Saccharomyces cerevisiae S288C: one gene and its partner. The protein of the gene in region 1 binds, or shares a complex with, the protein of each later gene. Each region holds a gene or a part of one and is shown on either strand. Other genes may lie near its edges. A codon is read from its position in the direction of its gene.

Region 1 (5,718 bases):
AGAAAACAAATCATAGCTAAGCATGAGGCAAAAACCGGCAGCAGCAGCAGCAGCGATCCCGTACAAGAACAAAATGGAAACATTCGGGATTTAGTACCGAAGGAGTTAATTTGGGAGCTGGGTGATGGACAGAGTGGTCAGTGATTCAAGGAGTAGGGTAAAGTAAGTAATATAAGCGAAGAAATTCTTCCCATACCTTTTCTTCACTTTGCAGAGGGGAGTGGTGCATATCCCACAAAGAAAAGTAGCAACAACAATGATATATATACGTTACTACTAATGCTTTCCTTCATCGAAAGTGTGCCGAAGTATTTATTTAATCTTTTAGTGTTCAACTTACTATAATGTGATACTTTTTCAATATTGTTTGCCGTTGAAGCGATAGTGCTTTATGTCATTTTATCTTTCTTTTACATTGTTTTATTTTAGAGCTAAAATTGAACATCAGTTTGCAAGAAGTCAGTTGGTTGGCCTTTGCTATTAAGAGACCATAATGTTATAGTGATTGAGATCAGTTTCACCAACTAATAACAATTAACCCGGGCGGTTAGTGTAGTGGTTATCATCCCACCCTTCCAAGGTGGGGACACGGGTTCGATTCTCGTACCGCTCATATTTTTACTTTCTTATCAAACTTTTTTTCCTCCGGGACGTGAAATAACCGCCGAGGTTATTCTCGGAGCATTCTTTTTTGTGGCTTTTGATCATCCATCATCATCATCATCATCATTATTACTACTACTACTACTACTACTATTATTATTATTATTATTATTATTATTAGTATTATTATTATTATATTGATTAGTTATTAGATAGATACAATTAAGAAAAATTTATGTAAAAGGTCAGAATAAACAGCATTTTTCTCCTCTTTTTTTATTTTTAAAAAAAGAAAAAGAAACTTCTAGTAAAGTGCAGCACATTCAAGTGTGATTAGTTGAAAATGGAAGCAATTTTACGGTTCAATTTCTTCAAGAAACCGCCTTCCTTCTTGGTTTCCTTCTTCTCACTGACGGCGGCGGAAGCTTGCTTCTTAGTTTCTTCAACTTTGTTGGCAGCTTCGGTCTTCTTTTGTTCGACACCATCAGCAATGTTTTGTTCTTCCTTCTTCACCTGTTCAGCTTCTGGAGTAGCTTCATTTTTTAGGTTGTCGATAGAAGCTTCAGCTTGTTCCTTTACTTCTTGGCCCTTGTTTTGCAAAGATTCTTTGGTTTCTTCCAACTTTTGTTGGACATCTTGGGCGGCAGTTTCAGCTTTGTTTTGAATTTCAGACATTATTAATTGATATAAACGTAGTTTTGTATGTTTCTTTGATTTGAACTTTTAAGTATACAGAGAAAAAAACCGATCAAAGAAAACTAAAGTATAATGAGGTTAAAAACGAAAGTAATAAAGTAGAAAGGCTATCAAGCAAACTGAGATGATCTTCGACGTAAAAACTCGCTCTATATATATACGCCATATAAGCCCATCGGCGATGGGGGACAACACGAAGAAACAAGAGAAGAGGAGAACCGCACAGAAAGCAGCAGAAACAGAGCAAACCAGCATTAACTAAAGATGATAAAAATAAAATTAGGTAAGAAACCTTAATTGGATATACAAAAATACACTGGAGGCACAAATCGCCATCGATATAAAACACGATAAAGCCCTGGTGCACCCATAAACCACACGTTTAACTATTTGGGTCGGGGCACGACGAAATCTAGGGATAGGCACCCGGACCGTCGGGGCAATACTAGGCGCACACCGCGCTCGTGAAGCAGACCTCCCGGCGAGTTTAGCTGCGCCACGTACTGCTCTAACGCGAGAGACTCCTGAAACACAGGTCTAGAAAGAAGGGGCCCCAAAACCCAGCTCCACAGACCGCCCGTAAGCATATCGAGCAACAGGCCACTTAAGTTACGCCACCCGAACACCTCACCTTCTTCACGCAGCAAGAATCCGTTTACCCGGTGCACAACCTCCGCGAGCTCTGCCGCACTAAGATATTCTGACAGAGGCGAGACGGAGGAGCAGCCAAACACGTGATCCCCAATGTCGTAACGCCCGCACCGCACAAAGCTAGTGCCATCGTCGCCCACGATTGCCGCCGGCTCGCTACCGGGAAGCTGTGTACTAAATTGTGGCGTTTCAAGGCTGCTGCGAGACTCATCGAACCGCCGGGGCACTCGTACCACCCGGGTCACCTGGAACTCGGCAGAGCCCCGAGCAGCATACACATTCGGGAAATGTGTAATACACAATTTGTGGTCTTCGTCGTGCTCTGTGGGTTTAGCGTCTTCGGAACCGAGGTCTTCGTAGAATGAATACGAAAACTCATGGTAATTAAAAAATAACGCCCTTTCGCTCGTATTTGCGTTATCTTCTTCCTTTTGATGGCTATCGCACATCTAGTAAGGGTTAGATTGAGTATTGTCCTCTAATGTAACTTTTTCCTCTTATTCCTCTCCTCCCCTTAGCTATTATATATCTTTTTTACCGAATCTTGAATTAGGAATAGTTTTAAAATCAGGCCGGAGGCCGAGCTTGCGACAACTACGACCAAAAAAAACAAAGGAAAAACGAAAAGAAGAAAACATGCACAGGAGAACATAGTTGGAGAAAAGGGTTAGAACAGACCGATACAGAGATAAACTAGCGAAGAATAATAACTTTATACAAAATTAATCATGAGCACATCCGCCAGCGGTCCAGAACACGAGTTCGTTAGTAAATTCTTGACCTTAGCCACTTTAACTGAACCGAAGCTACCAAAAAGCTATACTAAACCTCTGAAGGATGTTACCAATTTGGGTGTCCCGTTGCCTACTTTGAAGTATAAATATAAGCAGAATCGTGCCAAGAAGTTAAAACTGCACCAAGATCAGCAAGGTCAAGACAACGCCGCCGTCCACTTAACCTTAAAGAAAATTCAAGCTCCCAAGTTCTCCATCGAGCATGATTTCAGCCCATCAGATACTATCTTACAAATAAAACAGCACTTGATCAGCGAGGAAAAGGCCTCCCACATAAGCGAGATAAAACTGCTTTTGAAGGGCAAAGTCCTCCACGATAACCTGTTCTTATCGGATTTGAAGGTCACGCCTGCCAATTCCACAATCACAGTCATGATTAAGCCGAATCCGACTATATCTAAGGAACCCGAAGCCGAGAAATCCACTAACTCCCCTGCTCCTGCTCCTCCACAGGAACTCACTGTGCCCTGGGATGATATCGAGGCTCTTCTGAAGAACAATTTCGAGAACGATCAGGCTGCGGTTAGGCAAGTCATGGAGCGTCTACAAAAAGGCTGGTCTCTGGCCAAATAAGATTAGTATAGTTAGTACGTACATACTTGTTATTTTACACAGTTGCGCTTTTTATCACGGTTGCGCTTACTATTTTCTTCTTTCCTTTGGGCGGCTACTCGCCCTTTGTCTATTTCTCGCCATCGCCACATACTCTCTACCGCGATCAATCTTTTCCTGGGTAATACCATTCAACGCAACCTTCTTCTTCATCAGGACTTTCTCAAAGATATCATTCGGATTGAGCAATCTTTTTGGGAAATTTTGAATCACTTGCAAAATCTCCATATCTGCCTCTTCCTGCGTCTTAATCTTGTTCTTTAATCTTTTGAAAGTTGAATCAGAGTCATTACTACCACCGAAGGTGTACGAAGAGTACTGTCTAAACAGTTTCTGGCTTTTACTCTCCAAAAACTCGCTTTCGCTCAATTTCAGTATCCCCAAAGCCACTTTAAATAAAAAATGAGACTCTTCATAGAATAAACAGTCCCATATTCTCAGGGTCGTTTCGATGGGCACCACGCCCACAAAACAGCTCATAAACCAACTTGCCGTACACAGCGTCAGCGTAGGCAGCCTGCAGAGATATTCTTCCCCCGATGCTGGCCCTGATATCTGGTCAGTGCTGCCATTGCCATTCATATACGATGACTCAATGTGTGACCATATCTCGGGTAAATATTCCTTGATACATAACACCAACACCCCTTGATCCACGTTCGCACCCTCTAAGTCTGATTCATACACGCCAGGTAAATACTTACCGGTAATAATAACCAGCATCCAAAATGCTTTCTCTTCTTCCATGAACAATAATAGCAATCCAACGAGAAAATTCATCGATTGGCAGTATCCAATAGTCTTGTCATAAACAGAAAAGGCCATTAATACTCGACGCAATGATCGGATGATCGCCGGCTCTCCATTTTGGAAGGACTCCTTATGGAAATGTATATTATCGGGAAACGTTCGATAAAGATCCCGTTCTATAGCTTCCATATCTTTACCAGATACGGCACCCTCGCGACAGTCACTTTTCAGTCTATCATAAACGCCAACATTTGCGTCTAATTGTCGTTGTCCACCAGCAAAATACCACCAGGCATTCCCTCTCCATTCTGCTGGTATACCTTTTCTAACAAATTTTGACAATTCATCTGTCCTTGCAGGATATACTAGAGGATTATCATTGTGGAGCTCAATCTTATTCTTAAGAAGAAAGTTCTCCCACTTTTTTTTTCTTCTTTCGGTGTATCTATTATATTCTGTCCACCATTTGTCGTATTCTTCCTGACTAATGAAATATCCTTTCTTGCTAAATCCATATCTATCAAAATTCTCAGGATCTGCCATGATTAAGCTGGTAAACGCCTTTGCTTTTTCAAGCTCACGTGTTGTCAATATTTCTTTTCGTTCTACTGTAGAACTATCATCCCCTTCATCGTCGTCATCGTATAAATCAAGAACGCTATAATTGGCATCGTCTTCGTTGAATGACGAAACTGTGTCAAAAACACTTTCGTTCGGTACCAAGGCGGCTTCTGTCGACATAGTTGATGACATTATCATCCTGTCATGCCGGGTTTTGCCTTCTGTGATTGTAAAAGTGTGCGAGTCTTCCTCGATTTTGAATTACTTCGGTGCCAAATGTACAAAATACTATCCTAACTTTTCAAAAATAGTTTATTCTTATAAAATCATCCGTAAAATGATTAACTGTCCCCGCTAAAAGCGTTTGTAAGCTCAGTTCATAGATATGTCTTCCATCCGTAAATCCGCCTAACGAATAGCAACACATTCTTTTTCCTTTTACATTTTCTATTGACATAACGCGAAGCAAACGTATCATTGTTGTTTTTTTTCTATAAATAATCAAAAAGAGTAATTGTTTTAGATGAAATAAAAATGCGATTAAAATATGAATCATACATACGTATATACATATATATATATATTGTTTCTCCTAAATAAAAAAAAGCTAAATTTCAATGCCACTTTAAGGATACTTTGAGCTGCTCAGGGCTGCATGCCATTGACAAAAATTCAAACGTTAGTAGTTTTCTCACGGATGCTCTTGATTCGACATTCACTTGCAAACAGGCATCTAAGAATTGTTTGGTTTGCTTGGACACTGACTCTGGATGACGCAATTTTGGTGAACCGTTGTTAGCTATCAGATACAGCGCCTTCAAAGGATCCTCATTTAGGTAAGGCGGTTCACCTTCTATCATCTCAATAAGCATTATCCCTAGAGACCAAACGTCGACTTTTTCATCATATCCCTTTTGATTCACTATTTCAGGTGCCATCCAATATGGAGTACCTACCATTGTGGCACGCTTGCTTCTTTTTTCTGTTAATTCCACACAAAAACCGAAGTCTGTAATTTTCACTAACCCTTGGGAATTCAGAAGGATATTAT
Region 2 (4,848 bases), on another chromosome or scaffold:
ACGGTAGTGATTAGAGAAGTATGACTTTTAAACCAGACACTAATATATTAAAATATTTAATCTTTTGAATTTTTATATAAACGGTTGCCGTAATTACTATATATATATTCAATGGTAGGAAAAAAAGATGCTGCACGTTGTCTGACATCTGAAGAAGAGTGCTAATATGTAGCTTCAAAATTTTCGGAAGGCAAAAATAATGGTTGCTAAGAGATTCGAACTCTTGCATCTTACGATACCTGAGTATTCCTACAGTTAACTGCAGTCAAGATATTTTCTTGAATCAGGCGCCTTAGACCGCTCGGCCAAACAACCACTTATTTGTTGTAAAAGTTATACGAAAAGAACCTTTTAATGAATGTTTTTTTTAACATTCTAGCCAATTTCCAACGTTTATTTGCGTATACTCAACCTATACTATGGCGGAATTCACTCCTTTCAGTAACCTTTTTATATTTTACGTACTACTGTGTCGCTGAGTTCTTTATATCTATACTTCCTTATATTTTCTGTATTTTTTCAAAGCTGTGTGCTGGCGATAAATCCATAAATCTCCAATCTCCAGCTTCATGTGGCTTTCTGGCACTTACAAAGCTTGGGCCCCTTGGTTCTAACATCAAGTGACCCATATTTTTCAAAAAGGACCCCTTATTATATATGTTTTCCTCCTTGACCACACGATGGAATACAGGGTTTTTTTTCGATCCAATACCTTTCAAAAATTCCCTTGTTGTTTGCTGATTACCTGCCATAAATATGTGATAAGTAAACAGTATTGCCGGATACCATAAGGTTAGCCCTGCATAGCAAAGTAACAATATTGCAACGGGACAATCGCGAGGCCCCCCTGATTCCCGTGCAATATGGATGGCACAATTAGTTAATAATATGACGGACGAAAGTATTGCACCTAACAGGAATATTAAAAAGAACCGGTAGTTCCTTTTTCCTATGCAATTATTGACCCATATGCAATGGTGGTCATGAACCATTACGCAGACGTTACATGTGGAACAGTGAGAAGACCGAGGTGGTCTCCATATCCTACATGATGGACAATACTTGATAGTAATGTCTTTTGAAATTGAAGAATGTGTTGGTAGTGTTATCAAGTTGTAATATTCTTGCGGGATCTGATAATTATTTCTTAGTTGACTTAAATGAATATTTCTCGGAAGAACGCCAGGATCACTAGTGGCTGTTCTGATAAAGGATGCTAGCGTTATGACCCAAAAATAATAGAAGAAAATGACCAGCACTTTATAACCATTTTGGGTATGCCACAATTTGTGAGCCTCAAATATGGAGAAGAGAACCATGGGACATACAATAGCAAGGAGAACACCTAACCACAACGGTTTGGCGCCCTTTACTGTCCTGAACCTGCCACCAAGGAAGAATATATAATTCGAGACATTCGGTAACGATATATAACCTTTTCCATCGTTTATATCCTGATCACCCTCCAAGGTAACAAGCCATCGGAAGAACAACTTCGTCAATGAACCTTCTCCTGTATGCTCTTCCTTTGTTATTGAGGTGCTTTCCGATCTTGTCGACCTTCTAGAGACCAAGGCCATTATCTTCCCCGTTTCTCTTCTTGTTACCTTACGCTTTCTTTCCTTTACATTTTTATATTTGCAAACTGTAATCTTGATAAGGCGCTGCTCGCCAATTTCCGAGTAGTTTGACAAAATAAACACAAACTGTTTATGTACAAGAAACTAGGAAAACCAAACAGAGAATCTCAAGCAGAGAAATAAGGTAATGAAAGTAGGTGGCATAGAAGACAGACAACTGGAAGCCTTAAAAAGGGCGGCACTGAAGGCGTGTGAACTCTCCTATAGCCCCTATTCTCACTTCCGTGTCGGTTGTTCCATATTAACAAATAACGATGTTATCTTCACTGGTGCTAATGTCGAGAATGCAAGCTACAGTAATTGTATATGTGCAGAACGATCTGCTATGATACAAGTTCTAATGGCAGGCCATCGCTCAGGATGGAAATGCATGGTCATTTGTGGCGATTCTGAGGACCAGTGTGTTTCCCCTTGCGGCGTTTGCAGGCAGTTTATCAATGAATTTGTGGTCAAGGACTTTCCAATAGTCATGCTTAATTCCACAGGTTCTCGTTCTAAAGTCATGACAATGGGAGAACTGCTGCCCATGGCTTTTGGTCCATCTCATTTAAACTAGCAGCAATCTTTATTTGGCTGCTCCCCGAAAAGAAAGCGAAAATTTTTTACTTATTTTTTTTTTTTTTCATTTTTCATATAAAGAAGAAAAACTGATATTATTATTATTCATCCCAAGAACGCTATTGTGTATATTCCTAGCAAGAAAAAAATAAGCAAAAAAATTGTATAATGAGCACTGCAACTACAACAGTTACTACCTCCGATCAGGCTTCTCATCCTACCAAGATATATTGCTCCGGTTTGCAATGTGGTAGAGAAACTTCGTCCCAAATGAAATGCCCTGTTTGTCTAAAACAAGGCATCGTTTCCATTTTCTGCGACACAAGCTGTTATGAAAACAACTACAAAGCTCACAAAGCTTTGCACAATGCTAAGGACGGCTTGGAAGGTGCTTATGATCCTTTCCCAAAATTCAAATATTCTGGTAAAGTGAAGGCTTCATATCCACTTACCCCAAGAAGGTATGTCCCTGAAGATATTCCTAAACCGGACTGGGCCGCTAATGGGCTACCAGTCAGTGAACAAAGAAATGATAGACTTAACAACATCCCTATATACAAGAAAGATCAAATTAAGAAGATTAGAAAGGCATGTATGTTGGGTAGAGAAGTTCTTGATATTGCCGCTGCCCATGTCAGACCAGGCATCACTACAGATGAATTAGATGAAATCGTCCACAATGAAACAATTAAGAGAGGTGCCTACCCTTCCCCTCTTAATTATTACAACTTTCCTAAATCGCTTTGTACCTCTGTCAATGAAGTTATTTGTCACGGTGTGCCCGATAAAACTGTCTTGAAGGAAGGTGATATTGTCAATTTAGATGTTTCCTTATACTACCAAGGTTATCATGCAGACTTGAATGAGACATATTATGTCGGCGAAAACATTTCTAAGGAAGCTCTTAATACTACTGAGACCTCAAGAGAATGTTTGAAACTAGCCATTAAAATGTGTAAGCCAGGTACCACCTTCCAAGAGTTAGGTGATCATATTGAAAAACACGCTACCGAAAATAAGTGCAGTGTAGTAAGAACTTATTGTGGACATGGTGTTGGTGAATTTTTCCATTGTTCCCCAAATATTCCCCACTACGCCAAGAATAGAACACCTGGTGTTATGAAACCAGGTATGGTTTTCACCATCGAACCTATGATTAATGAAGGTACTTGGAAGGATATGACCTGGCCTGATGACTGGACTTCTACCACCCAAGACGGTAAACTGAGTGCTCAATTTGAACATACACTGTTGGTTACCGAACATGGTGTTGAAATCCTAACAGCCAGGAATAAGAAATCACCAGGTGGCCCAAGACAGAGAATTAAATAGATCTAGGTATTTTTATCTTATACATATAGAAACCAATAAAAAACTTGAACTTGTACTTTCCCGAGTCCGAATTGGTTATTATGAGAAGCTATTTTTTTTTTTTACCTCTTTTTATATGAATCAAGCGTACATAATTTTCTCTATAACTATTCTTCGACATCTATTTGGTCGTTAGGCTCTTTCTGTTCTTGTCCTTCTGCCCATTGTGTTATATCATCGACATACGATAATATGGTTTCTATACTGTCAGGATTATTAGATTCCAAAGGTAAAAATTGAACCATACCGAAATCATCGACGAGGTTGGCTATGCACTGGTTCAGTCTTAGAAATTTAGGGTTGGATGCTTGATTCATTCCTTCCGTTTCCATTAATAACATTGCATCGGGATTCAAAAATCTTTTCAGTTTTTTCTTATTGATGTCGCCTTTTATCAAGTCTAGTTTGCTCAACACATTGATATGGGGTAGTTCCAATAGAATCATCGCAGACATAGCAGATAGTGCACCGCTAAAAAATTTTGAGCTATCTATCACAAATGGCGCTTCCAAAAGATATGTGGCGCAAAGGTTGAAATTCAGTTGTTGAGTTAAATGGCGCACTATGTTCGGTAAGACAGGGATATGCGTGTAGAGTTCAATTTGACCGGGACAGTCAAAGATTAAATATTCATCGTTGAAATCCCCGATCTCTTCGTCAAGCCAGTCTAGATTTTTCAAAAGATATTCGAAGCAATATATTAGCGCACCATTGGGGCCCAAATCCATTTCTTCCATGACATCATCTAAGGAAATTAAATCTCTAATGTCAATAGTAAATTCATACTTGGTAGCTTCTGCGGCAGGGTCTAAATTTACAATATGAGCTCTTCGTCCTACAGTTTGCATATGTGATATAATGGAATTACAAAATGTGCTTTTCCCCGCACCTGCAGGTCCTAATACCATGACACCAACGCGAGACATTTTCCAATGCTGATTACTCTATTTGTACTTGTTAAGTTTTTTTCACGATCAGGATGACTTGCCAACCTCTTAATTATTGATCTTTCTTTTTTGATCTTTCACCTCATCATTTTAGATTTTTTGCAAAATTTTTCTTAGTATTTTTTCAGTTTAGGGACAGCGGGCCAAATTGAATAGCCCTATGTGAACAATTGATGATTCAGAAACATCAATGGCATAAATCAAGCTGAGAAATTCTTGTCATTGCATAGAAGGAAGGTTTGGTGCGTCAGTGAACGGATGAAGCGCATCAAAAAGTAGATATTAGCTGTGATAAACGATGATTTGCATAACGTGCATGCGGCCCGTAGATT

What was found. Proteins that work in one complex are often made in the same cells at the same time.
Region 2: the proteins of SHR5 (region 1) and ERF2 are in contact, whole or in part, in a cryo-EM structure (PDB 8HFC), measured with the Saccharomyces cerevisiae proteins. Residues at the interface, in NP_014531.1 of Saccharomyces cerevisiae: Arg17 (codon at 2,351), Ala18 (codon at 2,348), Leu19 (codon at 2,345), Phe20 (codon at 2,342), Phe21 (codon at 2,339), Tyr23 (codon at 2,333), His24 (codon at 2,330), Phe26 (codon at 2,324), Ser27 (codon at 2,321), Tyr28 (codon at 2,318), Phe55 (codon at 2,237), Pro56 (codon at 2,234), Val58 (codon at 2,228), Tyr59 (codon at 2,225), Ala60 (codon at 2,222), Ala61 (codon at 2,219), Arg62 (codon at 2,216), Phe67 (codon at 2,201), Arg74 (codon at 2,180), Arg77 (codon at 2,171), Phe79 (codon at 2,165), Asp80 (codon at 2,162), Glu81 (codon at 2,159), Ser82 (codon at 2,156), Arg83 (codon at 2,153), Leu86 (codon at 2,144), Glu87 (codon at 2,141), Tyr117 (codon at 2,051), Asp118 (codon at 2,048), Ile119 (codon at 2,045); in NP_013347.1 of Saccharomyces cerevisiae: Tyr115 (codon at 1,238), Ile119 (codon at 1,226), Ala122 (codon at 1,217), Ser123 (codon at 1,214), Ile125 (codon at 1,208), Arg126 (codon at 1,205), Thr129 (codon at 1,196), Leu135 (codon at 1,178), Pro136 (codon at 1,175), Asn138 (codon at 1,169), Ile139 (codon at 1,166), His140 (codon at 1,163), Leu141 (codon at 1,160), Ser142 (codon at 1,157), Gln143 (codon at 1,154), Leu144 (codon at 1,151), Arg145 (codon at 1,148), Tyr148 (codon at 1,139), Gln149 (codon at 1,136), Pro151 (codon at 1,130), Gln152 (codon at 1,127), Glu153 (codon at 1,124), Tyr154 (codon at 1,121), Ile158 (codon at 1,109), Thr159 (codon at 1,106), Leu160 (codon at 1,103), Pro161 (codon at 1,100), Thr162 (codon at 1,097), His163 (codon at 1,094), Ser164 (codon at 1,091).

The regions. Positions count from the first base shown.
Region 1 is NC_001147.6:105,857-111,574, reverse strand, and holds SHR5 (Shr5p), read right to left. Parts: upstream 2,400-5,718; coding exon 1,686-2,399; downstream 1-1,685. Other genes in the region: INO4 (Ino4p), read left to right, coding at 1-144; ZEO1 (Zeo1p), read right to left, coding at 937-1,278; MDY2 (Mdy2p), read left to right, coding at 2,679-3,317; Rab GTPase-activating protein MSB4, read right to left, coding at 3,387-4,865; putative serine/threonine protein kinase SKM1, read right to left, coding at 5,282-5,718. UniProt on the Saccharomyces cerevisiae protein: The ERF2-SHR5 complex is a palmitoyltransferase specific for Ras proteins. Palmitoylates RAS2, which is required for its proper plasma membrane localization.
Region 2 is NC_001144.5:623,850-628,697, reverse strand, and holds ERF2 (palmitoyltransferase ERF2), read right to left. Parts: upstream 1,581-4,848; coding exon 501-1,580; downstream 1-500. Other genes in the region: E3 ubiquitin-protein ligase IRC20, read left to right, coding at 1-14; CDD1 (cytidine deaminase), read left to right, coding at 1,768-2,196; methionine aminopeptidase MAP1, read left to right, coding at 2,367-3,530; putative signal sequence-binding GTPase GPN3, read right to left, coding at 3,677-4,495; sterol homeostasis protein ARV1, read left to right, coding at 4,815-4,848. UniProt on the Saccharomyces cerevisiae protein: The ERF2-SHR5 complex is a palmitoyltransferase specific for Ras proteins. Palmitoylates RAS2, which is required for its proper plasma membrane localization.